Schizosaccharomyces pombe: one gene and its partners. The gene in region 2 interacts genetically with the main gene of each other region. Each region holds a gene or a part of one and is shown on either strand. Other genes may lie near its edges.

Evidence for each region.
Region 1: mutations in vms1 (region 2) and iwr1 together harm fitness less than expected from each alone (positive genetic interaction), as found in Schizosaccharomyces pombe (one large-scale study listed by BioGRID).
Region 3: mutations in vms1 (region 2) and slx4 together harm fitness less than expected from each alone (positive genetic interaction), as found in Schizosaccharomyces pombe (one large-scale study listed by BioGRID).
Region 4: mutations in vms1 (region 2) and pof14 together harm fitness less than expected from each alone (positive genetic interaction), as found in Schizosaccharomyces pombe (one large-scale study listed by BioGRID).

What each region holds. Positions count from the first base shown.
Region 1 is NC_003424.3:1,591,918-1,598,980, reverse strand, and holds iwr1 (RNA polymerase II nuclear import protein Iwr1), read left to right. Parts: upstream 1-4,441; 5' UTR 4,442-4,526; coding exon 4,527-4,587; intron 4,588-4,640; coding exon 4,641-4,709; intron 4,710-4,798; coding exon 4,799-5,111; intron 5,112-5,200; coding exon 5,201-5,591; 3' UTR 5,592-5,679; downstream 5,680-7,063. Other genes in the region: glutamate-ammonia ligase Gln1, read left to right, coding at 1,410-2,489; signal recognition particle receptor beta subunit Srp102, read right to left, coding at 3,055-3,570, 3,619-3,786; peptidase family curved DNA-binding protein Cdb4, read left to right, coding at 5,898-7,043. UniProt on the Schizosaccharomyces pombe protein: Directs RNA polymerase II nuclear import.
Region 2 is NC_003421.2:2,378,434-2,386,753, forward strand, and holds vms1 (protein Vms1), read left to right. Parts: upstream 1-4,019; 5' UTR 4,020-4,197; exon of another isoform or gene 4,198-4,268; 5' UTR 4,269-4,298; coding exon 4,299-6,101; 3' UTR 6,102-6,263; downstream 6,264-8,320. Other genes in the region: pcs60 (acetyl-CoA ligase), read right to left, coding at 52-1,590; SPOM_SPCC1827.05C (RNA-binding protein NIFK), read right to left, coding at 6,264-6,671, 6,749-7,134, 7,190-7,226; hom2 (aspartate semialdehyde dehydrogenase), read right to left, coding at 7,717-8,320.
Region 3 is NC_003424.3:3,114,310-3,122,810, forward strand, and holds slx4 (structure-specific endonuclease subunit Slx4), read right to left. Parts: upstream 4,865-8,501; 5' UTR 4,692-4,864; coding exon 4,638-4,691; exon of another isoform or gene 4,554-4,637; coding exon 3,348-4,553; 3' UTR 2,571-3,347; downstream 1-2,570. Other genes in the region: mis14 (MIS12/MIND complex Mis14/Nsl1), read right to left, coding at 54-103; SPOM_SPAC688.03C (AMMECR1 family protein), read right to left, coding at 307-664, 794-1,017; glutathione S-transferase Gst3, read right to left, coding at 1,758-2,486; protein Rng10, read right to left, coding at 5,070-8,186. UniProt on the Schizosaccharomyces pombe protein: Regulatory subunit of the slx1-slx4 structure-specific endonuclease that resolves DNA secondary structures generated during DNA repair and recombination.
Region 4 is NC_003424.3:2,243,833-2,251,335, forward strand, and holds pof14 (F-box protein Pof14), read left to right. Parts: upstream 1-1,902; 5' UTR 1,903-1,953; coding exon 1,954-3,249; 3' UTR 3,250-3,296; downstream 3,297-7,503. Other genes in the region: microtubule plus-end binding protein, EB1 family Mal3, read left to right, coding at 1-790; byr3 (translational activator, zf-CCHC type zinc finger protein), read right to left, coding at 4,111-4,650; tRNA (uridine) methyltransferase trm9, read right to left, coding at 6,540-7,145, 7,195-7,275. UniProt on the Schizosaccharomyces pombe protein: Expression is induced during oxidative stress. Plays an essential, SCF-independent, role in the stress response to hydrogen peroxide for survival, by negatively regulating ergosterol synthesis via direct binding to the squalene synthase erg9.

The DNA of each region.
Region 1 (7,063 bases), on a different chromosome or scaffold from region 2:
CCCTGGTATTGTTACTTCAATGTTAGTCTAGTCAACAGCTGGCAACACATAGCTTCATTGAATCCTGATAAGAAGCCCCTCCTCATCTAAAAAAAAAAAAATTAAAATTAAAACACGCTGAATAGTCAGCGTCTAGCTTTCCTATCCACTATTATCATCGTCGCATACGTCCACACTTGGTTGGGGTATCTAGAATACCAACGAAGAACTGCCTACCTAGAGATAAAGCAACCCAACCTAATTACCTACTTAGTAGCAAAAGTAAATTTAGACTATCACACATTTGAGATAAACTGATTATTTACAATGACACCTTGTTAATTTTAATTACACAACATGCAATCGTAGTAATAGCAATGTATATCTTCAAGGCAACTCGTTATGAAGCTTCATTTCTTTAAACTGATATCCTCGTTCTCTATATCTCTCTCTCTTTCTGTGTGTGTGTGTGTGTGTATCAACTCTCCCTTTGCTTTGCTCATACATGCAAGCGAACACATGAGCACCCATCATACCCAGCCTGCTCTCTCTCTCGCTCTTTACGCGCTCCGAAAATCTCCGTAATTGCAGCAACGATGACTTGCGGTGTCCAGCTTTTCCGGGTTAATTCATGATAAAAAAATGGAAAAAAGGCGATCCCTGGCACTATCTTTAGGCGCCTTTTCCGCCAATCATTCTAGATAAATTATCTTCCATATCATTCATTCGCTCCATGATTGGCCCATACTTCCAATCATCTGTGATATCTTGCATTCTGGACAAGAACCCCCCAATCAAATGCTGCCCATCTATTGCAACCCTTACCCCAAACTCTTTATCTACGCCGGTTTCCTCGTTAACGGAGTGTTGGAGGACGAGGTGCAATTAACCGGTCGTGGTATATAAAGTGAAGGCGCGAGTCACCTTACTCTTCTCCAAATAACATTTTCGAAGCCAAAAAAAAATTTCCACCCTTTTTTGTTTCGTTTCGTTTCGTTTGTTCGGCTTTCTTTCTTCTAGATTTGTAAAGAAAGATTTGATTGTGTAAAACGAAAAAAACGCTGTTATATATTTGCTTTTACTAGTAACATATATAATTCACGCTCCTACACATATTTTATTTTATACATATAAATTTTTTTTGGGGGGTTTTCTTCTTCTCTACACGGTAATTTAGATTAAACTCGGTATAATTGTTGCCTTGGTTTAAAGTTACTTTTTTTTTATTCTTCATTAATATACTTCGTTCGATATCCTTATCTCGGTTTTTCGATCGTTGACAAATTTTGTTAATCCTGGTTTACAGTAATCGATCTATTGTTTTGTAACGGGGTTTTCTTCTGTTGCTAGTTTTCAAATTTCCGTTCTCTAGACTTTCGTTTTTTTTTATCTTTTGTTTTTCTACCTTTTTTTTCCCTTTTACTTTCAATATGTCTCAATACGACGTTGAACCTCTTCTCTCCAAGGCTGCTATTTTAAACAAGTATGCCGATCTTCCTCAAAATGGTAAGGTTATGGCTGAGTACATCTGGATCGATGGTTTCAACCATCTTCGTAGCAAGACCATGACTCTCGATGCCAAGCCTTCCTCTATTGACCAATTGCGCGTTTGGAACTTTGACGGCTCTTCCACCGGTCAGGCCCCCGGCAACAATTCTGACACTCTTTTGAAGCCTGTTGCCATGTACAATGATCCCTTCCGTCGCGGTGACAACATTCTCGTTCTCGCTGCTTGCTACACCGCTGATGGCTCTCCCAACGGCTTCAACCATCGTGACGCTTGCGCCAAGTTGTTGGAGAAGCACGCTGACAAAGAAACTTGGTTTGGTATTGAACAAGAATATACCATGTTGGACTACTATGACCGTCCCTTTGGCTGGCCTAAGGGTGGTTTCCCTGGTCCTCAAGGTCCTTTCTACTGCGGTGTTGGTACTGGCCGCGTCTTTGCTCGTGACATCGTTGAGGCCCATTACAAGGCTTGTCTTTACGCTGGTATCAACATTTCCGGTATCAATGCTGAGGTTATGCCTTCCCAATGGGAATACCAAGTCGGCCCTTGCGCTGGTATTGAAATGGGTGACCAACTCTGGATGTCTCGTTTCCTTCTTCACCGCATTGCCGAAGATTTTGGTGTCAAAATCTCCTTCCACCCCAAGCCAATTTTGGGTGACTGGAATGGTGCTGGTTGCCACACTAACGTTTCTACTAAGGACACTCGTGCTGAAGGTGGTATAAAAGCTATTGAGTCTTATCTCGAGAAGTTTGCCAAACGCCATAAGGAGCACATTGCTGTTTATGGTGACGACAACGACTTGCGTCTTACCGGTCGTCATGAAACTGGTTCAATCGATAAGTTCACTTATGGTGTTGCCGATCGTGGTGCATCCGTTCGTATCCCCCGTTCTGTCGCCATGAATGGTTGCGGCTACTTTGAGGATCGTCGTCCTGCTTCTTCCATCGATCCTTACCTCGTCACTGGTATCATCACTGAGACCATGTTTGAGCATTAGACAATTTTCCCTCATAATTTAACGTGCAGGTCACGTCGACCACCCAGTTATTAACCATTTTGAAATATGTGTTTAAGTTTTTATAATATCACGTTTTTGTTTGTAGGACTTAATGAGTTTGTTGTGTAGTAATTTTGTTTATCAGCTTCACTTTTTTGTGATGTTTATCTTTTTTTAGAATATTTCATATGATGCATTCGTTGCAGTCATTTTTTTAAAGTATCACCATTTATCAACTGAGCTTGTTGCTCACCTTCTTATAATGATCAAGAGTGTTTTCATTGCGTATGTGAGGCTTTGATACAACCTTGGATTGTTCTTTTCTTGATATTCTTATACTAATATTAATGTTTCTCTTGTTTTTTTTTACCCAAGCTGTCCCTAAGTACAAGTACTTTACGAATCAGTTTGTCAACAACCCTGTTAATTTTTTTAAGTATTTTACAGTATTCACACAAGATTACGAATTTTTGAAATAAAACGATAGCTTATTCTAGACATGCAAAAATATATCTTTTTTGGTTGGTTACTTGTAAATTATCAATTGTGAATAATTAATGCATCTTTATTGTAAAGCTGATTCCATCCATGAAATCCATTCTTCAATGTTCGACATTTTTGCAACGCTGCCAGGAAGGAATTTAAGATCAGTATCTTCAATCTGATCTGCAACTGATTCCCAATCGACATCTTCAGAGACTATAGATTCGAGTTGAAGATTTTTCTCTTCCAAAATATTGTGCAGTTCAGCTTTTAACAATTGTTGAATTTTTTCCGCAGGTTGAGCAGTAAAAAGATCAAATTTATTACAGGCAATTAATAGATGAGGGACATGATGCTTGCGACATTTTAAAATTGTGTCAAACAACATCAATCCAACCTCGTGCACATCCCTGTCAATTGTAGCACTGTTGAGAACGAAAACTACAGCTTTTACATTATAATTTCCAGAGAATTTAGTAGTAATCCAACGTTTGGCCCTGGGATGCCCTGGAAGATCTACTAACCAAGCACCATATTTCCACACAGCTTCATTAGGTTCAATGCTAGGAACTGTAGTTTTCTTTTCTTTATAAATTAGCTATATAACAGTTAATAAGTATTCAAAGATTGTATATTATTGTTATACCTCACAAAACAAAGACGTTTTTCCAGAATCGCTAGGTCCAATTAAAAACACTGCTGGTAACTTCTTTTGAATTGTCTTTCTAGTAAAAAAAATTCCTAGGGTAGATATAATAGCTCCTATAATTATTGTAGCTACAATAATTTTAAAAGCTTGAGAAGTTCCATCCATATGCTGTTGTTGGTACCAGTTGGGTGTGTAGAAGATATATGTCAAATGTTACAAAGACCTCATTTTCATACGATCGTTGATTAAGATATATTTTTCAGAAGAGAGAAATAAATGTGAAAAAAAAAAAAAAAAAAAAAAGCATCCAAACTAGTTCTCGAAGTTTTGTTTAAAAAAGACAATTCTCGTACAGATTGCAGCAGTAGAGATTGACTGTACCCTCTTTTGAATTTAATTAAAACAATACAAAATACATTTTTCCTGAATGTATTACATGAGATAATTGCTTGATTAGACCAATCTTTGTTAATCGTCAAAGTATACATTTATATCATCGGTTCTTTTGAGTGGAATTAATTGTTGTGGGGCATCTTTAAGTTGTGAATTTGTGTAATTAGACTTATTGAATATTTTTGCTTCATTGTTTGCTCAACATTATTTATTATAGAAAAGTTCTTTTTGTTAAGTGATGACAATGATATAAATAATGAACTTCACGATTTTTTATTTTAAAATAATAAAACTATAGAATATTTTACATTTTGAAAGATAAGATTGCGTTGTTGTAATACTACTTCAATCCAAGTTATACTGAAGTTGCTGTCTTTCAGTCGAAGAGCTACTTTTATATCTACCTTTTTTACATTGCAGACTTGCCATCCCCCAACCGTAGATTTTGCTGGTTATATTAATTCCTTTTTTAAAGAGTCGTCTAACTCTCGTTATTAAATTGTGATACGAAGATGCCTCTTCCAGTACTTCGAGTTAAGCGTAAAGCTTCAGAAGATCCTGTTAACGCCCTATGTACGACCAAGCTTCTAAGTAAACTTTCTTTATCTAACTCCTTAATAATTTAGATTTGGAACTTGGAAACAATCCAAATTCTGTTTCAAGTACGAAAAGAAGGAAATTCGCCGGACGATATTGTATGCTACTTCTTGAGCTTTTGTGTTGGAATATTACACAAGGACTAATCATTTGAAAAACACAATTACCTTTTATTGACAGTTTCTAGATTTTAAACTATCACAAACGCTGAAGCAAGATGATCGGTATATTCAGATAAATGATGAATCTTCGGAACCCACTCATGAAGACGTTCGAAATATCCACAGTCATACAAAAATATCATCTCTAAAAAAGAACAATTACGGAATCCCTGTCGTCCAAACTTCTGAAGACGTTGTGAAAGCACCTACGCACATGGACTTGGGATCCCGTGAAAATACAAAAGGTATTCTTTCTTTCTCATCCCCACGCTATACAATTCAGAATTTACCTTCTACTCAAAGTAATAGAGTGTTCGACGCTATCCGTGTCGAACAAGGGTATGTCAACATCAAATAGAGTCAATTACTTAGTTCTGTTGTTATAAGAACTGGCTCTTGGCTTTTTTTACCTTAACTAACATTCATAGACATACTACGTATCATCCGCATCCTCAGCTAGATTCTATGATTCAAGAATATTTGTCAAATGGAGACCTTCCTCTTCAGCAATCTACGGAAGACTACGTATACGATATTTATGAAGCATCTAGCAAAGAACCAAACAAGCCAACGTTTGCTTATGGTGTAATTGATGCTTTGTCCATCCCAGACGCTTTTCGTTCTTCATTAGAACAGGAACTAGTCTCCGAGACAGTGGACTCTGATAAAGATGATCCATTACATGATGAAATTGATGAGGATTCAAACGCTGAAAGCTTCTATCAAAATAGCTATCCCGATGAAGACGAATGGCAAGATAGCAGTGAAAATGATGAATTTGCTTACTCCGATGATGCTGAGCAAGACTTTTATGATTAGATGTTTGCTACTTAAAAAAACGAACAAAATGGAAATCGGTTACAGTTTAATAGGTGAATGATATTATTTGGAGAAATTTATATCAGGAATTTAGTAAATTGTTCTATTGTATTTTTTAAAAACTCATACATTATATTGTGTCTGGGTAATATGTGTAAATTTTAATAGCATTACTATTTAGTTATATCATAGGATTCAATATGAGCCATGTTATTCATGAGTTTGGAGTCCACAATTTTGTGACTTGCAAAATCCTAGCACCAAGTTCTTGAATTTGTAGCCAGATTTAGCTACATCATAGACAATATGTCGACTAAAGAAGCAACTTCAGAGACTGCTGTCGATTATTCTTTGAGTAATCCTGAAACCGTCAATAAATATAAAATTGCAGGCGAAGTTTCTCAAAATGTTATTAAAAAAGTGGTAGAATTATGCCAACCTGGAGCCAAAATATACGATATTTGCGTTCGTGGTGATGAACTATTGAACGAAGCTATCAAGAAAGTATATCGTACCAAGGATGCTTATAAAGGTATTGCTTTCCCTACCGCTGTATCTCCTAATGATATGGCTGCTCATTTATCTCCTTTAAAAAGTGATCCCGAAGCCAATCTCGCTTTGAAATCGGGTGATGTTGTAAAAATTCTTTTGGGTGCTCATATTGATGGATTTGCTTCCTTGGTCGCTACTACAACTGTAGTTTCTGAAGAACCAGTTACTGGTCCTGCCGCTGATGTTATTGCAGCTGCTTCTGCTGCTTTGAAGGCTGCTCAACGCACTATTAAACCTGGTAATACTAACTGGCAAGTCACTGACATTGTTGACAAAATTGCTACTAGCTATGGCTGCAAACCTGTTGCTGGTATGCTTAGCCATCAGCAAGAGCGTGAAGTTATTGATGGCAAAAAACAGGTTATTTTAAATCCTTCTGATTCTCAACGTAGTGAAATGGATACTTTTACGTTTGAGGAAGGAGAAGTTTATGGCGTTGACATTCTTGTTTCAACATCGCCTTCTGGGAAAGTGAAGCGTTCTGACATTGCTACTCGTATTTACAAAAAGACCGATACAACTTACATGTTGAAACTTCAAGCTAGCCGCAAAGTCTATTCTGAAATCCAAACTAAGTTTGGTCCTTTCCCATTTTCCACTCGTAATATTAGTTTTGATTCAAGAACCAATATGGGATTAAATGAATGTACTAGCCACAAACTTTTGTTCCCTTATGAAGTTTTGCTCGATAAAGACGGAGGCATTGTTGCTGAATTCTATTCAACCATTGCTTTGACCAAAAAGGGTACAATTATTCTCAGCGATTCTGAACCTAAGGAAGATTTCATTAAATCCGATAAAAAAGTTGAAGACCCAGAAATTGTGGCTCTCCTTGAGACTCCCATCAAAGTGACCAAAAACAAGAAGAAGAGCAAGAAGCCATCAAAAGCTAATGAATAAGGTTGGTAAATAAAAATTTT
Region 2 (8,320 bases):
AAATTAGCGAGTTTTGGGGTAAAGAAGCAAAATATTGAGTACCAGATACTCTTAGAGTTTGGCCTTGGAGTGATTGAAAAAGGCGTCGCAGACCAAACGACGTTGCACTTTTCCAGTAGCAGTTTTAGGGATACGATCAGTAAAGTAAAACTTTTTAGGGATTTTAAAAGCAGCAACCTTCTGTTCTAAATAGTCATGTAACTGCTTGGGGGTTACTGTTTTTCCAGCAACAGGGTTAATAGCTGCTTGGATGTCTTGTCCGTATTTTTCGTCAGGAACAGCAAAACAAACAGCTTCGGAAACATCAGGATGTTGCATTAAAACAGCGTCAATCTCAGCTGGAGAAATCTTTTCACCACCACGATTAACAAGCTCCTTGATGCGACCAGTAATAAAAACGTAACCGTCTTTATCAAGTTTGCCCTCGTCACCAGTACGGAAAAAACGATCTTTGGTAAAGGATGACTTATTCGCAGCAGGATTGTTCAAATAACCCTTGGTAACGTTGATTCCGCGAACACAAATTTCTCCCTCTTTTCCTTGGGGCATTTCGTTACCTTTCTGGTCCAAAATTTTGAGTTCAACTCCAAAAGGCTTACCAACTGAATGAGGTTTGTGTACCAAAGGAGGTAAGGGATTGGTAGTCATTTGATGAGAAGCTTCGGTCATAGCATATGCCTCAAGGACAGGAGCACGGAAGGTAGCCTCTAGTTTGCTTAAGACTGGTGGTGCCAAGGGAGAAGAGCAAGAACGAATGAAACGAATTCGAGGAAGAGGTTTGGGAGGAGGAGTACGGAGAAGGATTTGATGAATAGTGGGGACCGCAGTATACCAAGTAGCACCATACTGAATAAACTCCTTCCAGAAGCTGTGAGCAGAGAATTTGGGAGGTACAACGGCACATCCACCAGAAGCTAAAGTAGAAAGGAGGCCACAAAGAAGACCGTGAACGTGAAACAAAGGCATGACAACGTAAGAAGTATCTCTTGGATCCAATCTATAAGAGGTAGTAATGTTATGGATGCTACGGCACAAGTTTTTGTGAGTCAAAGGAACGACTTTAGGGCGTCCAGTGGTACCACTAGTATGTAGGACAAGCATAACGTCGTCGGGTTGAGGAAGACCAAGTGGTTGAGGAGCATTAATTTTGGCTCCTTCAAAGTGAACAATGCGAACTAATCGAGACTTGGGACACCAAGCAAGTTCGGCCACTGCGACAGACAATTTCTTAGCAGCACGAACAGCAGGGGTATTTGCGGCAACGGAGCCTTCGGGAACAATGACGAGTTTACTTTTCAGATCATCAATGTAAAACTCAAACTCGGATTGCTTGTAGTTGGAGTTCAGGGGCCCACAAATAGCTCTTTGCCAAGAAACAGCGTAAAAAGCTACGACGAATTCCAAGCCATTGGGAATAGCAATGTTTACAGGGTCTCCAACTTTTATGCCAAGGCTGGCAATTTGGCGCTGAAGATCCATAATAGCAATTCGAAGCTCACTGAATGATAGTTCTGCATTTAAAGAAGGGGCTACCAAGGCTCTCGCACTAGCATCACCTTGAATAGCTGAATATAAAGTAGTAAAAGACATTTTCAAAATTCTAACACCAAAAAAAGTTTATATATGATAAATTAAATAAGTAGTAATTCAAAAGTAAGAATTACAATGTTTAACCTCCTCAAATGCGGATTAAGGAAGCAGCAAAAGGAATGAGTTTACACGGAAAATGAGTTAAAAAATCGGATAGATAGGTAAGACACTAGTAAAGCTAAATACCTAAAAAGTTTTTCAACGCACGAATAATAAAGAGTTTCTTCAAGAAAAAACTACTCAAGTATTGAAAAAAAATCTTTTAGACGAGAAATCTTGAAAACTTCCCTAAATCCTTTGTAATTGGTTTTTACTTGTATATGTTAGTCAAATGTAAAGTGAGTGTTGAATTAAGTGATTAAATCTTTTATTGCTTCATTAAAATAACGTACAATGAACCAACTAAAATATTCTTCTTTTAATGAAGGTAAGTTTTTGTTAAGTTGAAGAAATCAAGAATACAGTACTAGACCCGATTGCAAATTAGATCCCCTAAATTGCGCAACAGATCTAGGCGCGAACGCAATGATTTATCCGGTATTCAAAGGGAGGTGGTAGTAACGAAATTTACGGTAAGAGTATAACAAGAAAAATATGGATTCCTTATTCTGGACTTTTATAGAAATTAGTTAAAAAATATTGATGAATGAAGAATGGCATTTATGGTGGTTGCATCGAATCGAATTCATTACTAATGGAATTGATTTGTCTACATTAGTGATTCTTCCTATCTTTTGCAAATTAAATGAATTCAACGGAAATGACTCAAAGGTATAATACTAAAGCACCTCCAAGAAAAAAAACTAAGTTGGTAGAATTAAATTTCTGTTTTTCTGAATTTCACAAAACTAAGCGTTTCAATTGAGAAAGTTATTCATTATCTCTTTTAATCATTAATTTCGCTATTATGTATAAATTATTCTTCATAAACTTGACTTATATTAGTTTAAATCGATCGCATTTGCATGCTTGCAAATGCTTCGATACTTTCCATTTGTCAATTTTTAAAATTAATGTAAATAGTGCTTTACAGCAGATTGAAAAAATTGCTTGCACTTAATTATCTACTTAATTAAAGGACGCTGGAATATACAGACAGGTCTCTCCGTTCTCAATCTAAAAGGGATTCATCCAGTTTAGTTGTAATGGAATCATTTCAGCATTGTACCAAGTATCAAGTTTTTTACTGGATGAATATAAATATAAATTAATTGAAGTAGTTTTTTTTTTAAATCGAGAGCTATATGTTTGAAATGTGTTAGTGCTTTTGTTAATATTTCCCAAATAGAAACGGTCGAGAAAGAATTATTATTTGACAACGAATCCCTCAAGTAAAGTAAGTATAATAAGGGAATCCTAAATATTGAACTTCCCTGAGTAAAAACCGTTGATGCTGAATCAAAATATTCCTATTTCGGGTTCTTTTAAACTTTTTTTATGGAAAAGGACATGTTCCTTAAATTCGTCGGCTAGGTAAATGTTAAAAAATTTATGCGAGATTACAATGTCAATGTCACTTGATAAAGTAATCCACAGTAAAGTTTACAATGATTAAACAGAACATTGCAAACGATGTTTGAAGTTATAGGGATTTTTACGTTGAAATTAAACGGGTGGTTTGTCGCCTCAAATTCACATGGTCTATCTCTGATACGTCCGATATTGCTACTGATTTTAGGAAATTATACTGGTTTGTTGCATTCATCAACGCCTTGAACACTGAATTAAATCTTCTCTTTTTTTAAACTAATTCGCACTTCATATTTCCCGCTATCTCCCATTGATTCATAAATTAGTAGCGTGAGCATATGCGAAACAATACCTGCAAAATATGTGGATTATATCATCTAAATAATTATTAGTATTCACTGCAAAGATTAAAATTCCTTTTTCTTAAAAAATTTATTATATATACATACGTAAAATTCTTTCCTCAATTTGATGTCTTAAATTTGGTGGTTTGCTTGAAGGCATATTATTCTCAAGATAATAAAATTTTTTTTTTTTTTTTTTTTTTTTTTTTTACAAAAATAATATTAAACAATCATGCTCAGTCAAATTTCAAGTGACGAATTAATTTTTGGTATTTATTTTTTAATACGAAAAGGAATATATACAAATTGCGACTGCATCTAATATAGTTTTGAATTAGCTAAAGCAGTAGCATAATTTTTGCACTATTAATTTAAATAAATATTATTACAATCACCAACATTATACAAATGTTATTTTCGATTTTATATTTACATTCAATTTAAAATTCATAGATTTTTCACTGTTAACGACAGCTTTTTCTCAAATATTAAATTTTGGACTATATTAGTTAAATAATAAACGCAAGTATATACCACTAAGTAAAAAAATTACATAAATTTGATTTTTGATTGACTGTTTGCTCTTACCTAATTAATCCTCTTACCTATATTGTCTACAGCCTTATTTTTTTTTAATTCATTTTTGTGGCCAAAAGGCTTTAAAGTCTTAATTTACATGAAAATAACCTTTTTCTTCTTTTAATTTCAAGAAAAAATTGTAAATTAAAAGCAAACTACCTGCATCTTGTGGTCAAATTACTTAATCCTTATTAAAGTTCGTTTTTGAGTATAAGTACGCTAATTGCTAGATTGAAATTCTACTGAAAATTATTGCATATTTTGTAATGCTTACATTATTTTTAGATCTTGCTAATTACTTGTCTTCTTCGAAACATGGGTGATATTTCGAAGCACAATATTTTTTCCCTTCCTGAGGATATCTTAGCAAAACTAGAACTACGAGAGGAATACTCAGTTGAGGAAAAAACTGATAGTGCTAATTTGTCAAACCAAGGCGATATTGTTGATTCCACTCAGAAAAATATATCATCATGTGTCAATTGCCAGATTGACAATCTGCATACTCTGGACGAAAGAAAAAGTCATATTAAATCTGACTGGCATAGGTTCAATACGAAGCGAAAAATTACAAAATTGCCTCCGGTTTCTCAAGACGAATTTGAAAGCATAATTGAAGATTTACCAGAATCACTGTCTGGCAGTGAAAGCGAGACAAACTCAGAATCCGAAGAAGATAATTTCCAAATAGAGAAGGCTTTTAAACAATCCTTGAACATAGGAAAAGTTGACTCCGCTGACGAAAACAACAATCAGCGAACAAACTCACCATTAACGTGGTTTCAATTGAGTAATGCTTCTGCCGAAGTGCCAACCTATATTGGTGTATATAAACACATGTTTTCCGGTAATAACCATATCACTAAAGATTTACTTGTTCAACAACAAAATCATAACCGACAAAAGCCACTTCAACTAGCTATGTTTATGGTTGGAGGCGGTCATTTTGCTGCTATGATTGCTTCTAATGAGTTTAATCCTCGTGATCCCCATGTACCCAAAGTACTAGCACAGAAAACTATTCACAGATATACAACTAGAAGGAAGCAAGGTGGTTCTCAAGGGGCTGCTGACAATACTAAAGGGAACATTCACTCGGCAGGTAGTGGTTTGCGACGTTATAACGAACAAGCTCTTATTAAAGATATTCAGCAAGTTTTTAAAGACTGGGGAAAATTATTAGAAACATGCGATTTAATCTTTGTACGTGCAATCGGTTCATCTAATCGTTCAATTTTCTTCTCTCAACCAGGTGCTCTTATTTCTCCAAAAGATCCAAAACTCCGCGTATTTCCATTTACTACTAAACGAGCCACACATTCAGAATTACTTCGTTGTTACAAAGAGTTGGTTACTCCGAAAATTAGTCACGTTGATTCAATTTCGATAAAAGCTCAAGAAGAAGAACGAAAGAGACAAGCCGAAATTGAAAAGGAAATTAGACAAAGCAGATTACAAGAGGAAGAGAGGAAAAAGAAAAAGCTTGCTAAATATACCGAAGTAATTATCTCCAATTTGAAAGCGTCTAATATTGAAGCATTTTTGGAATATTTGCGCTCTAATGATTTGTCTATAAATTTTCAATTTTATCCTAAAAATGTTCATTTGCACACATCTACACCGTTGCATTACGCAGTTACCCAAAAAAATGCTAAATTAGTCGCTAAACTTCTCCGTAATGGTGCTGATCCAGCAATGCTAAATGGGAACGGAAAGACACCTTTTGAGATTAGTACTGGAAACAAAGAGGTTAAAGATGAGTTTCTAATTGCAAGGCATGAGTTGGGAGAGTCATTTTTCGACTGGGAAGCAGCTAAAGTTGGGGCTCCTCAGTCTAGAGAACAAATTCAGAAACAACGCCAAAAGGCAAAGACCAAATTAGAAAATCAAAGAAGGGATAAAGAGAGGCAAGAAGAACTTAGACGGAAGGAAGCGATGCAGAAAATTGAAGAACAATCGAAAAGGGATTATGATAAACTGCACGGCGAAGGTCATTCATTAGGAATTAATAATGTTCGAAAAGTTGACGAATTGCAATCATTAAGTCCAGAAATGAGAATGCGAATTGAACGTGAAAAAAGGGCTGCAGCTGCCATGAAAAGAATGCAAACAAAATGAGAAGCATAGTTATTTTAAATTAAAAAATACTTTACTAGAAAAAGACAACAAAAGGAATATTGTAAAAATATTAATCTTAGTATACGTTATTCACAATTCTATTATGCATAATAATAAGATATTCCAAATATTATTGTTATTACTCTAAAACCCCGTATTTATTTATTTGTGAGCAGCCAAAACCTTTTTGTTCTTCTTTTTGCTAGATTTTTTCGAAGCAACTGGACTAGCCGCCTTGGGATGAGATACATCCGATTCCAAAGTAATCCCCAATTCTTTGAGCTTGCGCTTTTTGAGTTTAAGCTTCCGATTATGGCGAGTAATTAACTTATCCGCTTTCTCCTTGCTTAATGGTTTTTCATGCTGAAGACGCGCTATTGTGGCATGAGGGATGCGTTTAAAAGGAACGTCGGCGCCTTTAAACATGTTTTCATGAACCTGGTCTTCAGGAATAACCTTACATTGTAAAAGCTTTCCATATAAAAGATAATTATGCATTGTCTCAGCAACGACATTGGCAACGTCTAACGATTCAAACTCGATGAAAGCATAATGCTTACTACTTCCTGTCTAATGCAAAAAGTTAGCAGTCGAAAATAAAAAGAAGAACTAAAATAGTCCGCTGTAGATAATAAATGTTACCATACCTTTCTATTGCGAGACATGCGAAGACGTAGCACAGGACCAAATTGAGAAAAATACATACGCATCTGTTTCTCATAAAATCCATGAGGAAGTCGGCCAACATACAAAACACCTTTTTTCTTTTGAAGATTCTTATTTTCAGAAACCTTTTTCTTTATGGTTTTCTCAGCATCTTCGCCCAAATCCATAATTTGCCTTGAGGTATTAACTAGCGCATTTGGAGAGTCTTCTTCATCATCATCTGAAGAACCGAAACCAGGAAAAAACTCTTTATCTTGTCCTTCTTCATCAGAGTTATCTACATGACCTTGTAATGATATATGCTCGGCTTTTTCAGCATCTTTGACTTTCTTCTCACGAAGAACCGATTTCGGTTGATTCACCGATTCTAAAATCAATTGAGTTAAAAACCATACAATAGTGATATTATTCCTATCACTTACTTTTCGAAGACTTTATAGGGCTCTTTGCCTTCGACATAATGTTTTATAAAAGTATAGGTATTGAACTGAATTTTTCCAGTGTCAAAAACGGCCAGATGCCTAAATTACAAGTTGTTATACATTTCCTTAAGCTAGACATGGTAGAATTTGAATTTGCGTTAAATATTCAAAAAATTTTTTAATCTACGCTAAATTTTTACAAATTGGTGTTAAAATTCGTTATTCATTTAAAATGGGAAAAAGTAGAAAATGACTTACTTCAAATATTAGAATTATCGATAGTATTATTCAATTACAAGGAATACAAATCTTTTGAAGGCTTCCGTTTTGGTTCGCAAGCACAAGAAACTTGATTAATAGAGGCAGTCCTCTAATTATATCACTGGCAAGGTAAAATAACAGCAAAAATGAAATATATTAACAAAGTTTTTCTTTATTCAAAACCTAATTCCAACTTTTAAGGTATCGAAAAATCCGTGGCAAATTTTGAGAGAGAAGAGTTATAACAAGAACAGGAAATTCGTTGTTTACATAAGTCCCTTCTTCACCGCAACTTCAGCATTCAAAATACCAGCACCAGCAGCACCCAAAACTGTGTTATGGACGAGGGAGACAAATTTAATATCAAAGATGGAATCAGATCTGATACGACCAACTGATACTGCATAACCATTTTCATTGTTACGATCGAGTCTAGGTTGAGGGCGGTCAGGAGTAGAATCATCGAAAACATAAATGGCTTGTTTAGGGGCACTGTAGCAGCCTAACTTTTGAGGTTCAGAAACATAGTTTGCCAATACTTCGCGAACTTGATCAGGAGTAGGAGAGGTCTTGGCAAACTTCACAGAAATACACATCAAATGGCCATCAATAACAGGAACACGATTGCACTGAGCAGAAACAACGTTATCAGTCAACTCATATCCAGAAATTGTGCTATTGACAGAGCCCAAGATTTTACGTGTCTCCCATTCAATTTTTTCTTCTTCACCGCCAATAAATGGAACGATGTTATCCAAAATGTCAAGACTGGAAACACCAGGGTATCCAGCACCAGAAATAGCTTGCATACTAACTACATTTGTTTGAGCGATAGGACCAAAAGCATCTTGTAGAGCTTTCAAAGGTACT
Region 3 (8,501 bases), on a different chromosome or scaffold from region 2:
CAAATTAAAAGCATAAATAAAAGCTCTAAACTACATGGGATTATGAAACACACCTTTCCAATGCAATTTTTGGTAAAACGCTAGCATCTCCGTGAGACGACATGAATGCTAGAAAGAAATGTTTTTCTTTAAGAATATATGATTAATAGATTAGAATATATTAAGAGAAAGTTAAATTTTTAGCTGAGAGATAGAAATCATTAGTCTGAAAAGAATTTGGATGTGATAGTACTGGCTGAAAACTTAAGCGATAGCTTAATTACGCTATGTAAATAGATAGAAAAGAACCATTGTATATAGATCAGGTTATCCCAGAAGCTCCAAATTATGAAGATATTCTTCATAAGTACACCCGATTTCCAAGGACTTATAGCGAGTAGCAGTTATTTGTAAAGAACGTATTGATCCATAGTAGCCTGCTTTATGTATCAAGCTTTCTAGGGTTTCCTCTTGATCCCAACGTTGTTCAGCCGCTACAGAAGGTAGATAAGTCGAAGAATAACGAATTCCATTTGCCGTAAATTTAATAGACACGCCATGTATGCCAACTTCCCAATCTAATGGATCATCTATCGGTTCAAAGTCGACTAACAAGTCTATCTGGCACTCTAAAAGAGCCAATTCTCCCAAGGAGATAGGACGAAAACGTTCATCACAAAATGCACTATTTTTAAAATGTTGTATTAGCATTCGGTTACTCTTCTTTTCAATTTCATCGGCAATTTCATACGAAGGTCTATGATTTATCATTGACGCCTACAACGAACTATGAACCATTTTTAGACACACTTACGCTTGTTTACTGAAATATGTTAAATTTGTAACTAAAGGACGTGCCCGGAAAGTTCCAATGCAACCTCGTAGTTGTTTATCATGGCCTTTTCCAGATGCAAACTTTACGAACAGAGGGATACTACGGGTCCAACTCTTTGCATTCCACTTGTCTCGGACCTTTCGATGCTCTAAAGTTGCAGCAACTACTTCAAAGCAATAATAACAATACTCTTTCTTGTCCATTTATATTAGTGGTAGTAGCAATTGCCTACGGACGCTTTCGGTACAATTTGTAAGCCATGGTATTTTATTCATACATCATTCCAACTTTCTTTGTTTAAGGATGGCCAACAAATCATACGTTGTAAGTGATTACGATAACGTCCAAGTTCATTATACTGTTTCATGTTTCATGTTAAAAAAAGTTAGTTAGTAGGGCCCTGTTTATGTCTTCTGTCATAAAGTGAAAGAAAATGGAGAACTTGTTTAACTGTACACTAAAGCATTCTTTACAAAATAAATACTCTTCTAAGTTTTCACTACCTAGTTAAACAATTCATGCAACAGCAGCAAAACTTATTGAATTCAAAAGTAGTCATATATAAATTAACATTAAATCAAAAACAAGATTTGTAACCATAACTTCTTTTTCAGACTAAATAACAGTAACATGTTCCCATTCACAAAACTAGATGTATACGCGTATATAATATATATATATATGTATAGAGAGGGAGACAGATAAAGAGAGAAAAGTCCAAGCGTTTAAGCACCGAAGCCTTGTTTCTTGCATCGGAAAATCATTTCAAAAGGGGTGTCGCAAAAATTTTTATGTAGTTACCACAATATCCTAGTTATTGTACAAATCATTATCTACATTAACAGCATAAGTTCCGTACAAGCAGAATAAAAAAGTAAGCTTGCTGAAGCCTTGTATGTCTCAAGCCGACTTGCTTAAGAAAAAAAGAGCCACGGCAGAAATCTTATTCATCAGAGCGAACTTGCTCGGGAGGAGGGGTAGGGGGATGGGAGTACCTTTCCACATCAGAAAACAAAGTCAACGTATTGTCTTCAACTTTTTCAGCAGCAATTCGACATGCAGGCCTATCACTGACAACCCGCATCCAACGCTTAATATTTTTGTAAGGTTTCTGAGATAGGTAATCTCTTTGAGCAGCAAATATAGGAAAGCACATCTGCGGGTCCGCAGCGGTGAACTGTTCGCCTGCAAAGTATTCGTTCGATGCGAGGTGATTATCAATGTAGTCAAGGTTCAAAAATGTTTCTTTACTTAGATACTTGGATTTTATCCCATTCACAAACTGGCGAACAATATAACGAAAGAAAATGGGAGTCATGTTCACACTAAGATCCAAAACATGACTTGCCCAAATAAATGGCATAAGAGATGCTTCAGAAAAGTGCATCCATAATTCATATTTTTCCAATTCGGCAACATCCTCTTCTGAGGGTTTAAATGACGGTCCATACTTTCTGACCAGGTGCTCCAAAATGGCTGCACTTTCAATGTAAGTGACACCGTCATCGACAACGATAGGACTCTTGCCTAATGGTGACAACTTAGTATACGCTGGGGGAGCACGTCCGTCGACACGGTCATAAACTTTGATTTCATAAGGCACTTTGAGTTCTTCGAGCATCCATACAATTCGAGTAGAGCGAGAGTTCTTTAAGTGGTGTAAAACAATCATATCTGGTTACAAAAATAAAAACAAAATCAAATTGAATACTCAAAATAAATACTTTCTAAGATGCAATAATTTCGATCAAAGAAGGGAAGTATGTGGGAATTGGAATGTATATATGGGTGCTGCTGCGTCTACACCTCATATGCACGTCAGTCACCGAAATATATAGTGGCGTATGCAACAAATACGCAAAACACTTTATGTTTGCTTAAGAAAAAGATACAGTAGATATAGGAATGAAATAACATCTTCATTTGAATTGCTATCACTAGTCCGTCATGAGCCCGCTGTAAAGGTGCAGTACTAGATTTATATGAAAGACCAATTTTACTGTTGTAGTCAGTACATTTATACTAAAAGAGCAGCAGTTGGATTTACTTGGCATTCTGACTGACATATGAAAAGAAGTTCAGTGGTTGAATATCACAATACAGAAGCCATATTTTACATAAATTGGAGTTACGGTTTTTTCATAGTTAACAACGTATACTGCCTTGTAAAACGTGGTGTTAACAAAAAAGTTATAGTACTAAATTTGTATACCGAATATTCCAAAATAGTTCATAGACAAGCTATCTCAAACAGTTCAAACTGTTTCCAAAGACCAAGCAAGATATAATGATTAGTTTTTGATTCCAATAATATATGTTACTCGTTATAACACATAAAAGATATCTTGATTTTTCCTCAGCACTGCTGCAAAGGACGATTCTTATCTAAAACAGGACTTGAATTGACTTAAATCTAAAGCTGGGTTGTTTGCTGTTAATTTTGATGCTCAAAAATCCAAAATCTTTTTGTAAAAATGATATTGTTTTGCTTTAAAAACCATCAATTTTCACTCAAAAATCACTGATTAGCTAGCTAATGCCAACTCCCTTTCATGAGTACTCCATACTTATCGCACCAAGACTTTATAAGATCTAGCGAAACATTTAAATTTTTCCGCTTCAGCCAAAGTTGAAATTCTTCCACATCAATAGCAGAATACGTAAGAATTTTAATCCACACACTATTGTCTTTGGCTTGCTTAACAACTTGCGAAATTGCTCTATGAGTCTGTGTCACTATATCATCAAACTCCAATACTGTTTTAGTAGAAGTTATCAAATAATCATGGGGAGTTTCTTTGCCTAATTTTTTAGACTGAGATCGGCTATCGATTGCATCCAAACAAGATTCTACTATCTTAATGAGAGTTGCTTTCGAATCTGATGATTTGAAGCCATAACTTTCCGCTATAGCACGTAATTTTTCAACCGGAAAATTCTCCAACTTTTCTTTTAATGATTTAGCTTCATTATCAGCGTTTTTGTTAGTGTCCATGTAACCGGCATAGTTTAACAGGGTTCTGCTACGGTCATTAAATTCACATGAAGTAAACTCTTTAATATTGTCCGTTTTTTTTTTCTTATGTGTAGCACTATCGCCTTCAAGAAACGAGTTTGACTGACAAGTTGAGTCTATTGAATGACCGGCGCTTGGATGCCTTTGCTGAATTTCATCAACGGTGGAAACAGAAAAACAAACGTTTTCAGTAGAATTAGCCGATTCACAAAGTTCTTTTATAAGAGGACTCCTGTTGGCTTCAATTGATTTATTTCCTAACTTCTCTAAAGATTTTTCGAACAATTGAGGCTTCCTATGGTAATAAAAACCACTAGAAGATATTTCTTCCCTATTTGAGTGATATGCAGAGTGCTCGAAAGTATTTCTGCATGAAGCACTATTTTTAATTTTGCTGTATCTAGATAAAAGGACATCATTATCTTCAGCTACCCGAGTGTTAAGATCGGGTTCTAAGATATCTGATTCATTGTCGCTAAAGGAAGAAAAAAGAAGAGGGAGATTTTCAGTATCAAAATCTTCTTCATCCACAGCGTTTAAGTTGTGCTCATGAACCTTATGTCCCGTACAATTGTGATGCACAAGCTGTTGAGTAGACTCAAAATCACATTTAGAAGTTATCAGCCTAATTTCACAACATTCAGTAACAGATCTTTTTCGTTTACTATTACAATCTTTAGGGTTTTTGTTTAGCTCTGGCTCTATTGTTATCATGTCATCATCCTAAAGCTCAGTTAATATACATTTACTTCAGTTCAATGTAATATTTCTAATCATTTGCTATAGAATATCATATTTTTTTCATACGTCCGTGAATATATCAGGAGAAGATGATACCTCAATGTATTCTTCAGCCGACATCCATTTAATGAAACTTAGCTTGAAAGCAGCGTACTCAGAATCCTAAAACACCAAGAAAACGAAAGAATATCCCAAAAAATGATGAATATTTAATTTCGATTGTTTTGTTTTGTGTACTAGCCTGAATTTGTCGAAAGTTTTTCGTCCAGTTTCTTATTTTGGTTTAGACAAGTGGCAGCAAAACCAGAATATGCTTGATATTTTAACTCATCGTCTGATAAAAATAACTAAATGGTTTCACAAAAATGCGCAATACGAAAATGAAACAATATTTAGATAAAATCTTATTGATTGAAATGCAATGCTTCGTAAACAATACATAAATTAGAAAATTACAAAAGAGAGAAAAAAGTTAGGTAAAAAGTGTATGCAAAAGATTTATGATTTGAATCCCAATTTTTTTCCGAAAAGAGTTTTCATCTTTTTGGATTCTTTGATAGAGCTAGATGACGACTTGGCGTTTGATTGTTCACTTTTTGCTTTCTTCTTAAACAAATGTAAAATATCATTAGCAGCAGATTTAGACTTCTTTTTTGCTTCAGTAGCAATGTTGTGAGTTATAGTAACAGTTGACCTTGCAGGACTCAACGAAGGCTGCGTAATTCTTTTGGCAAGTTTGGTTGTAGTTGAAACTGGCTCAGAACGAGGAGGAGGAGGAGCTTCCTTTGGAGCCTCACCATCTTTTTCTAAGCAAAACTGAATCCAATTATCAAGGCCCGAATCGTATGCTGAATATTCTTGAATCTTTTGATTGAAAAAGTTGTAACGTTGATCGGTAGAACCTAATTCACCCAATCCATCGAACGACATCAATGGACTCTTGACAAACGCATCTAAGGTAGCAAAGTAATTTAAATTAGTTTCACTATTATCAGCCTTTTTGGAAATTCCAGAAGAAACAGCATCCGCTGAAGCACCGGAGTTAATGCTAGGAGAAGTGGTCGACTGCTGAGTTGAATTATTTTCAGCACTTTTAGAATGAGAAGATAAACCTGTCGTGCTTGTCTTTAGAGATAGTGTGTCTCGTTGATCCTCTTCCTGAACGACTATTTGCTTGTTGGGTTTTGGAGGTTCTGGCAAGGATCCACGGCTTAAGGCAGCAACTTCTAACTCATCTCTATTTAATGGTTCAGAGTGAGACTTATGTGTACTGGAATTACTGGATATTGAAACTGCATCGTGAGCAGCTACCACTTCGACCTTTGTAGTTGTCGTTTCTTCAATTGCGGGAGCCTTTGAGTTACTTGACTCAGTGTGAGAAGTAGTCGCTTCAACAATAGTTGGAAGACTAGTTTTATATGGATATACGTCTTGTTCTACAGAGGCTATTGTATGTTCATCGTCAGATGACCCCTTAGTCCAAAAAGGGTCTTCGGTATTCAACTTGGTAAGAGCTGGATCGGGCTCCTCCGAAAGATAACCATAGATACTTTCCAAGCTTTCTGAGTTTTTCAATAGTGCTCCTTCCTCTAGGGAGTTGTTAGAAACCAAAGAAGAGCGTGGAGATCCAACAACAGAAGCAGCTTGAGGTTCAATCCCTTGCTCGACAGAATTGGGTGATGTATCTCCTTTCACATCAACTTTTTCAAGGTTCGATTTTGAAATATGTTTCTCAGCATTGTCCTGAAGTAGATTGGAATTACTTTGAGTTTTTCCAACAAGGGTATATTTTGACGAATCGACAGGCAAATCGACAGCGCTGTCAGAAAAGCTATCAGGTATTGAATCGATAGAGCTGATAGCATCAAAATTTCGCAAAATACGACTATGAGTACCCGGTTGTTGGGAGAAAGAAGGATCGTTCGTAACTGTCTCAACCTCCGAATTGGTAGCATTATTTTGTTTAAGTGAACGAATTGTGGCTACCTCATCATCCACATCTGAATCTTGTAATCGTAGTTTAAGATTTTCTTCATCCAACTCACCTGAGGGCTGCTTACTAGGAGAATAAAGAAATGGTGAATTTACAGAAGTTATAGATGGATGATGCTCCGGTTTTGAGAGGTTTTCATCCTTCTCCTTTTCAGCATCGATTCCAAAATCGTTAGATAGTGAGTCCGAAAGTTCTTCCTCTGGGTTTTGCTGCGGAGACTCAACAAATGGAATAGACAAGCTATCAGTTGACTTAGTAGTTTGTAATTGCTTGACATGAGTGTCAATATCTGTTCGAGAAAGCTTTTCATCAGGACTAGGTATTTGTTCAAACTTCTCATTTGAATGATTCGAGTGTGAGCTTGTTATAGAATACGCATAACCCTTATTAATAATTTCGTCAGTTGGTTTCAAAATTGTATTAGTAGTCATGTTCGTATCTCCCTCCTCGACTTCTTGAACAACCTCAGATTGCTCAATTGCTTGTTCCGTAACAGGCTTTGAACTAGTTTCCAAAGTAGCTTTTTCACTCGTATTATCCAATTCATTGGCATCATCGTTAGCGGTAGAAACAATATCTTCTTTCACATTATTAGCAATTTCTACCGCCTCGGCAGAGTCCGGCAAAGTTTGCTCCATTAATTCGCTATCTAGTACTGCATGATCGTCATTAGGAGATTTCTTATCGTTCAACGAGGAAGATAGGTTACTAAGCGTGTCCCCAAAGAAGCTGGTATGCCTATGATTAGGTTCATATACGACGCTACGAGTTTTTGAACTTCTGGAAGAGGTAGCCCTGGAAAAATTGGAGCCACTACCAGTCTCTGCAACTGAAGCAAATGAGAATCGGTTCTTATTTGGAGCACGAGCAAATACGTTTGATTCATTGAGCTCTCTGACACTTGAAAAACTATCTCTACCCTTGATAGGAGGTAAAGACTCGGGTATTTCTTCAGCCTTTTTATACCTAGAGAAACTTAAAGGACGGATAGCAAGATCCTCTGCTGGACTTGAAACAGATCTCCTCTTTACATTTAACTCTCTTCGATTTTCCATTTGTCGAATATCCGAGACCCTATTATCATCTTGACTTTGAGGTTGAATGGCTGAAACTTGTGATGATTGAGATGAACGGGTGCTAGAAGATGCCATGGAAGATTTGTAATCAATCGGCTTAGAATTTGGATCTTTTCCTAATTTCTGTAAAAGAAATCTCCTCTTTTCGGCCCATAACCGTGCACTTTCATCAGCGGAGACAACCTTAGTAGCAAGCGTCTCATGGCTACTAGATGCTGCTTTTCGGTAAACAAAAGTGCCAGGGTATGAAAAGTCATAATTCTCGTTCTCACTTTGCTCGCTAAAGCTACTTGCCTCGTTTTCAATATCATCCTCTTCCTCCTCTTCTTCTATAATGCGATCGGTTCCGTCAGAATTTAATTCCCTTTCGGGATTCTTTCCGATATTCTCACTACTGGTGAGATTACTTTCCTTATCCTCACTCTCAGATTCTTCACTACTCCATTCATTACCTTCATAACTTGGAACATTGGAAATCCATCTTCCTGATACGTGTCGTTGCAAGCCTGTGGCATTACTTTGCTTTTGAGCCGTATTTTCTTCCATTGACCTATTAAGTTTTCAAATATATAGTCATGGACTAAAATTCGCTTTTTGTTTACTTATAAAACCGTTATTGATGTACTATTGTTCATGCGTAAAGTTGGAGGTGAAGGGATAGTAGTAGATTGCTGACTACCACATAGTCACTGCATAACATTGACTTCGCCAGCCCCATACGTTAACAAGCACAAGCTTGTAGGTTATTTATTGTTTTAAGCACAAAAATTGTAAGCAAACACCTTTTCAGAATGTAGCAGATATTCATTGTTTTTGATGTGGCTTACGCGTAATCCTAGAAGCGTTTGTTGAAGAAATCAA
Region 4 (7,503 bases), on a different chromosome or scaffold from region 2:
AAAGGTGAATTTTGAATGCAATAATGAGTATCAATATATAAACAATTGGAAAGTTCTTCAACAGGTATTCTTGAAGAAGGGTATCGATAAAGTTGTAGACCCTGAGAGACTATCGCGTTGTAAAATGCAAGATAATCTGGAGTTCGTTCAATGGGCCAAACGTTTTTGGGATCAATATTATCCTGGGGGCGATTATGATGCGCTGGCACGCCGGGGGAATAGAGGACCTGCTAACACTCGTGTTATGAATTCCTCTGCAGGAGCAACTGGCCCTTCTCGTCGCCGTCAGGTTTCTTCTGGTAGTTCTACACCTTCAATGACTAAGTCATCAGCAAACAACAATAACGTGTCTTCGACTGCAAATACTGCGGCAGTGTTAAGGGCAAAGCAAGCACAACAACAAATCACTAGTCTTGAAACACAGTTGTACGAAGTTAATGAGACGATGTTTGGTTTGGAGAGAGAACGTGATTTCTATTTTAACAAGCTTCGAGAAATTGAAATACTTGTACAAACTCATTTGACCACTTCTCCTATGTCAATGGAAAATATGTTGGAGCGTATTCAAGCAATACTTTATTCTACTGAGGATGGTTTTGAGTTACCACCTGATCAACCCGCAGATTTAACTACCGCCCTTACGGACCATGATACTAACAACGTCGCTGAAGAGGCTCAAATGACTGACCTAAAAGACTCAGAAACTCAACGCGTTCCCTCTGCACCAGATTTCGTACATGCTAGGCTACAAAGTTTAGAGGTTGATGACGATGAGAATATCACGTTTTAAAAAGTACTAAGTTAAAGTTTTTTTTTGTTGCAAATTCTTCATTTTTCACTGTAACAACGTAAATAAAGGAAACCGAAATATTTATTTTTATAGGGAGTTCTTCTTATTCCTTATTGTTTATTTAACCTGATCGAATGTTGCGTGCCTCATGACCTCCAAATTCATTTAATTTCGTTCTTTTTCCTTAACATATAGCATTCTGTATACTACAAATGCTAATTGTAATAAACTTTAATCCTTAGTGTTTGAGCCGTCTAATTATCCCAAATAGGATATTTTTCTTATTTCTTTAAAAAAGCTTCAAGGATAATTTAAATTTATCCTGCTTCTACGTTTCAGTGATTACGAACCAAACTTTTTTATAATTAAATGTTGAAAAGTATGAATGGATGTTTCAGAATTTTATTCAATGATGCTGAAATATCTACTCGATTTAAAAAAAATTTGCATCCGATTTTAAAATCGCCTTTTTCATATATGAGCAAAATAAAGAGTAAAATATTTACTTTCAATGATCTGATTATGTTAAAACGTTTCAACTGCGTACGTCTCAGCGATGTAGAAGTTTAATTACTTATCCTTATCTTATATATATATATTGTTGACTTTATAAACCGTAGGTGTTTATGCTTGTCATTTTTACTAGCAATAGTAAAGTATGTAAAATTTTGAGGTACCTTTGTTAGTTTATTTTTTTTACTCGAACTATATCAACTTTAAATAGCAAATTTTTAAATCAAGCTTAAAGTTATGCAATTCAGCTACACGTCGTTAATAATAAATAAAACTCTTTCATTCACAATTCTTTAAATTTGCAAAGCAAAAATCTCAATAATGAAATTCAAAGCACCAAGTTTCCCCCCCCCCGCCGGGGGGTTTGATCAATTTGTCTTATCTGATCTGATAACACCAATGTTACGTCTTTCACACAAAGAATTAAATTCGATCCACATTAGTATAATATGCGAAGTATACCACTAGTTTTTATTATAAAACTTCTGTTTTCTATATAGGTTTTTATTCACCTAATTCTCAGGCCGGTATGAGTAAGTAACCATGTGATGTATAATTATGCAATGTTGATAACCGGCAAATTGAGCTTGCAGTCAGCCAACATCACCATCAACGAACTGTATATGGGTACTACTACTTAATCAAACTAAATGCTTCAATTTTCATTTCAAAATTGCAAAACGCATACATGCTATATGAATACCAGCGTGAATGAGCACTTGGATCAAGATGAATCGTTTTTAAGAATACTAATCGATACTCGCAAAAAAATAAGAAGCTCATATTTCAAGCCTCAAACATTTGATGAATTTGTGCATTGTTTAGCAAGAGTAAGAGCCATGAAGCGATTGGTTTCGATCTGTTCTAATTTTGATGAAGAAGACAATTGGAATGGTGTCTGGAATACGTTGGTTGTTGATGGAGATTCGCATGCTTCAGCAATGATTGATTATGAAGGTCTACTTGATAAATGCTCACTAAGTAGAAATCTTCTAGAATTGATTAATGATTATGCCGAGTATACTACCCAAGTCCTGCCTTTCAGAAAAATACCAAGTAGCGATAATCTTGACTCTTCATTAAATTTAACTGTTGCTTCACCTAAGTCAAATTTATATTATAGATACTCATCTGAGAGTCCTAAGTATGCAAAAATTTTGGATTGTCCGGATGAAATTTTACAGCTGATTTTTTCATATTGCTATGATGCTTCATACATAGAGAAGTTACCCTTTGCATTTTCATATAGAAAACAACGACATACCCTTATCCATGACCTCCCCAATACATGTTTACGTTTTAAAAAGATTCTCAGCCCTCGAAATGTTTCATTTTGGAAACGATTACTTAAGGTGCATAAAAAAAATCCAAATTCGGCTGTAACTTGCTCTGAGTCTATAAACACAAGTGCTGTGGCCAAATTTACCGATATCCCTACAATCATTCCAATTTTTCTTGATCCAAGTTATCAAAGTTATGCAGCAAAGACAATTCATTCTGATACTTCTTCGTTAGCCTCCTCGATCATCCAAACAGGAGATGGAACACAGTCATGCGATGAGTCTACATATATAGAGCTAGCATGCAATCTTGTAGGCCGTTGTGTGCTTTGCAATAGAATACCGAAGTTAACTAAGTTTAAAGATTGCATTACCTCATTTTACCGGCCTTCTGTTGCTACCAATATATGTGATCAATGCTTAGAAGCAATCATTGACTTTTATGAACCTGTAAGTAGATACAAATTTGATGTTATGAAAGATCGTTTAGGGGTGGGATATATAAGCAGGCCTGGTCAAAAATTCCCCTCTTGGTTATCGGAGCATGTTCAATTGGCTAGGGATGAAGAGAAAGCGTTCAAGAGTATTTACCATTCTCAAGGTGAATTTGCAAGAAGTTTATTTCGTTTGTTTCGAGCGCAGTTGGCTGAGTTATGTGAACAATAAAATTTTGGATTAATATACTACGATTTTATGTAATAGACAAATTCGATGTCAAATTTGTATGAAAGTAAAATTGAAGTTAATAAATTTTTTTTTGTCTATGACAACTGTTACATTTATCGTTCACCCGTTTTCAATTACAGTTCATTTTTGAAAAGCAGAGTAAGCAATGCAAGGAAAAAATAATATTAATTAGGCAAATGACCCAGAACCCTTTTGTAAATATTGTTATACAGATACCATGAGAGATTAAGAAGTAGAGAAGTTGTTAATAAGTCAGAGCATTAACATTTACTGTACAAACACATAAGGTAAATTAAGTTACTCAAAAAATACGAAAACGCCAAAACCCATTTCGTAAATGAAATTGATAGTGAGTTGTCATATAAAACCAAAAGTTCCATTAAATAATGGCACTAAAAAAAACAAATCATCCAAATGGACCAAGGAATTTCTATCATTTATAGAATTCCCATATTCCAAATTTTTTTATTTCAAGCTCGTGAATTGAAAATAATAGGAAAAAAATGCCACTACAACAGTAAAAATAAACTGAAACAAAAAGGATTTAATCTATCAACATCCATCTTTTAGCGGTGACGAGAAAACAGGAGAGAAATGAGGTGGTGCATCTCAGGCTTCAGTACAAATATCCTTAAGGATCCGAAGCAAAAATGAATTCAGAAGTGTGCGAAAAAATAAGGACGAAGAGAAGGATGTAAAATTATGCTTTCTATATAACTAAATGCGCAGATCGCTCAAGGGATTTGTAAGAATATGACCACTTGCCAAATTTGAATAAATCGGACAAGAAAAAGAAAAAATATCTTCATACCACGACAAAGGGTTATAAATAGCAAGCACTTATGCCTCAATTACAGGAGAGGTGCAATTGACGGCGATGTGGCCTGGTTGATTACACTTGTAACAAAGTTGACCATCTGAAGCTTGTTGACATTCAAAGCTGCGGTGTCCAATCTTACCACAAGAGTAGCATTTCACGCCCATAGTGCAATCACGGGCTTGATGGCCATAAGAGCCACAAGCATAGCAATTCATGTTGGAGCGATGACCACCAAATCGTCCGCCACTTTGTTGACCATTTGTACGACAGTCTCTAGCAATGTGACCAACACGACCACACTTGTAACATTCCGCACCTTGACGGGGGTTAGGGCTGCTGGGGCAATCACGAACGAGATGTCCGGCGGTACCACAAGCATAGCAAGTTTTTTCCTGTTGAGGCTCAGTGCATTCGCTAGCCTTGTGACCGGTCTGATTGCAATTGTAGCAGATTGAACCCTTGGTGCACTCACGAGCTTGATGACCGTTTTCACCACAGTTATAGCATCGAGGACCGGGACGAGTGGTTTGAGGAACGGTGGGAACAGATTCAGACTCCATCTTAACAACTCCTTTACAATTAAAAAAAATTATTAAAGAAAATTAAGAAAAATAAAAAAAAACAGAAAAAATGTACTTTTTCTCGCTAACCTGACTACACTTCCTTAATAAATAGGAGCGTGTGACTGTCTAAATTTTTCTTAAGTAACAAGCACATGGTGGCACTTGGAAGTAACGAATTTGACAAGCGACTATTTTGGTCTTAAAGATGTCAATAAATAAGAATTTAGTTGTTTTAGACCGACGGAAGAAGCACAACAACTTGCCAATTAAAAAGAGTCATGGAATCGAAGAATTGTTACCGCATACTTGCTTTTTTTTGTGATAGAGAGTGTAATATCTTACATAACTAGTAAGCTCACTCTTTCCCATAAACTCAGGACTTTTTGGTTCTGACAATAGCTTTATATCATAGCAATTATTGCCTCCTCATTGTAATGTAGATTGGTATTCCAAGCGAATATAACCAAACGCTTAGTTACTTTGAATCGTGGTAAATAAGCATCGTTATTTTTCATGGCAAAAAATCGTAGAAACATTGCATTCACAGTATAGCGCCTGAAGAATTGAGTTCAGTCATTTGCAATATATATATTACTGGAATCTATAGTTGTACATATTTTAGGTATCCAGAGTACCACGTGCTTGAATTCAAACAAATCAAAATAAATCCAAAAATTGTTTTGGTAAAAAATAATGCTTTGGCCGGGAATCGAACCCGGGTCGAATCGATGGCAACGATTCATTATACCACTAAACCACCAAAGCTTGTTGAGGTTTCGATAAAAAAAGATTTAATTATATTACGCGACGATATATCAACATAATAATTTTAAATAGATAATTAGGATCTTGGAAATCTTTTTATATTTTTCCTAGACTTTATGAATATAACAAATACGAAATAGAAGGTGAATGGAATAGAAAAAAAGTAATCATTCGACTAAGGAGCAAAGAACTGCTGATTACTTCTTTATTTGAATTTAGCAACCAAGAATTTATTAATGCATGTCGGATTATTAATTTAATTCATGCAGTAAGTGTTTTGCCAAACTATTAATTGCTTATTTTTTTCTCTTTGGAATTCGTTTTGGTAAATAGAAAAGCAAGTAACTTAGTCGCATTTAAATTATTAAATTCAAATCAAATTTTGTACGTTAATTACTATTCCTATTTGTGGCTTAATAAATTTTGTATAATTCCTACATATTTTTTACAATTTATCATTATTATTGGGACACGTTTATTCAAACACTGTTTTTTAGATAATTCATTTCATACTCAAGCACAGATTTATATTAAAAGTTTAACATATACAGAAATGCATGATTATTCCAAATTATTCTAAAAAAAAATATTTTTTTTTTGAAATTTATTCATTTTACAAAATGTTTTTGCTTGACATACTTCATCGATTTCCAATACTTATGCAACCTTTGAACCGTCATTTCACTAACCTACGTGAATAAACTATTAACAAAAATTAGATTAACATTTTAATTTCCAACCCATTCACAGATGTATAGTATCATTTAACAGAAAACCACTTCAATCGATATCAAATTATCACTATTGTCATACTAAGAAACCGTCAATTTTTTTTTTGAAAACAAGTACATTTGACCGCTTTTCGCCCTTGGGAATGACTAGTTCATCGCTTCATTTTATAATTAAACGCAGTAAATTAATAATCGAGACATAAAACACAGAAATTCTTCTACCAGTTAGATTAAAAAAAAAAATCTGTAAAATCATTTTCCGAACGAAAATAGTTTAAACTATGTAATTAAGGTAAAATAGAAATATTCCAACTTTTTGAGAACAAGTTCAAGAAAGATGAAAAATCTGTTCTATCAAGGTGATATGACGATCAATTTTCATTCCAAAACTTAGTTTTTTTCAGCAATTACCCACCAGTTATCACGGTCGTAGCCATGTTCCAATATTGAGCCGCCTGCGGTCTCTACTAACTCATTTAATTCACCCTTGCGAAATAAATGGTAGTAACGTTGATACGCAATATTTTCAGCAGGATCGTGCCCCTTTAATTCCTCCGGCTTTGCATTTGGATACTCATATTGCCTTTTTAATATCCAAGGAACATAAACGTCCTGCGGTCCGTCTTCTGAAAAACCACGCCTTGAATTCTTTTGTTCTAAAGCCCAAACAAAAAATAGTGCTTTCCCTCCTTTTACTAATGGTCTTAAAACTTCCTGAACAGCTTGCAACCTTCGGTTTTCATTGCTGAAATGATGGATTACAGCTATGCTTAAGGCAAAATCAAACCGATTGCTTGGATGAGGTACGTGCAGGCCATCAGAAATAACCATAGGACCTAGATTGCTTGCTATTTTAACAAGTTTTACGCAACGATCGCTTCCTATCATGTAAACATTTGGGTTAACCTTTTGGTATTTGCCATTTCCGCACCCAATGTCTACTCCTACAGAGCCCAAAGGCAAAGATTTTAAAAATTTTTCAACCACTGGCCATGGCTACAAAATGACTGATTAGCTTTAATTAAATATCGTTGTATTAACTTACCTTGTATCGAGTATCTGAGAAATGTGTTGCAATCTTATCATATACTTGATGAACATATTCATTTTCGTACTCTATTTCCATTTTAATATAAATAAGTAAAAATTTGTAGCCTTTGAAGCCGATTAAAATACGTCTCGAAGGTTGGGTAAGGTTAGCAAATGGTAAAACTAAAACGATGGGTTATAGGGATGTTAATTTCGAAATTAGAGATTGAAAATAATTTCCATTCCTTTGTTTATTGCCATGGTTCAAAATTAAGGATTTCATTATTCTTTATCATTTAAAGCAACAACTAAAACAAATTACAGC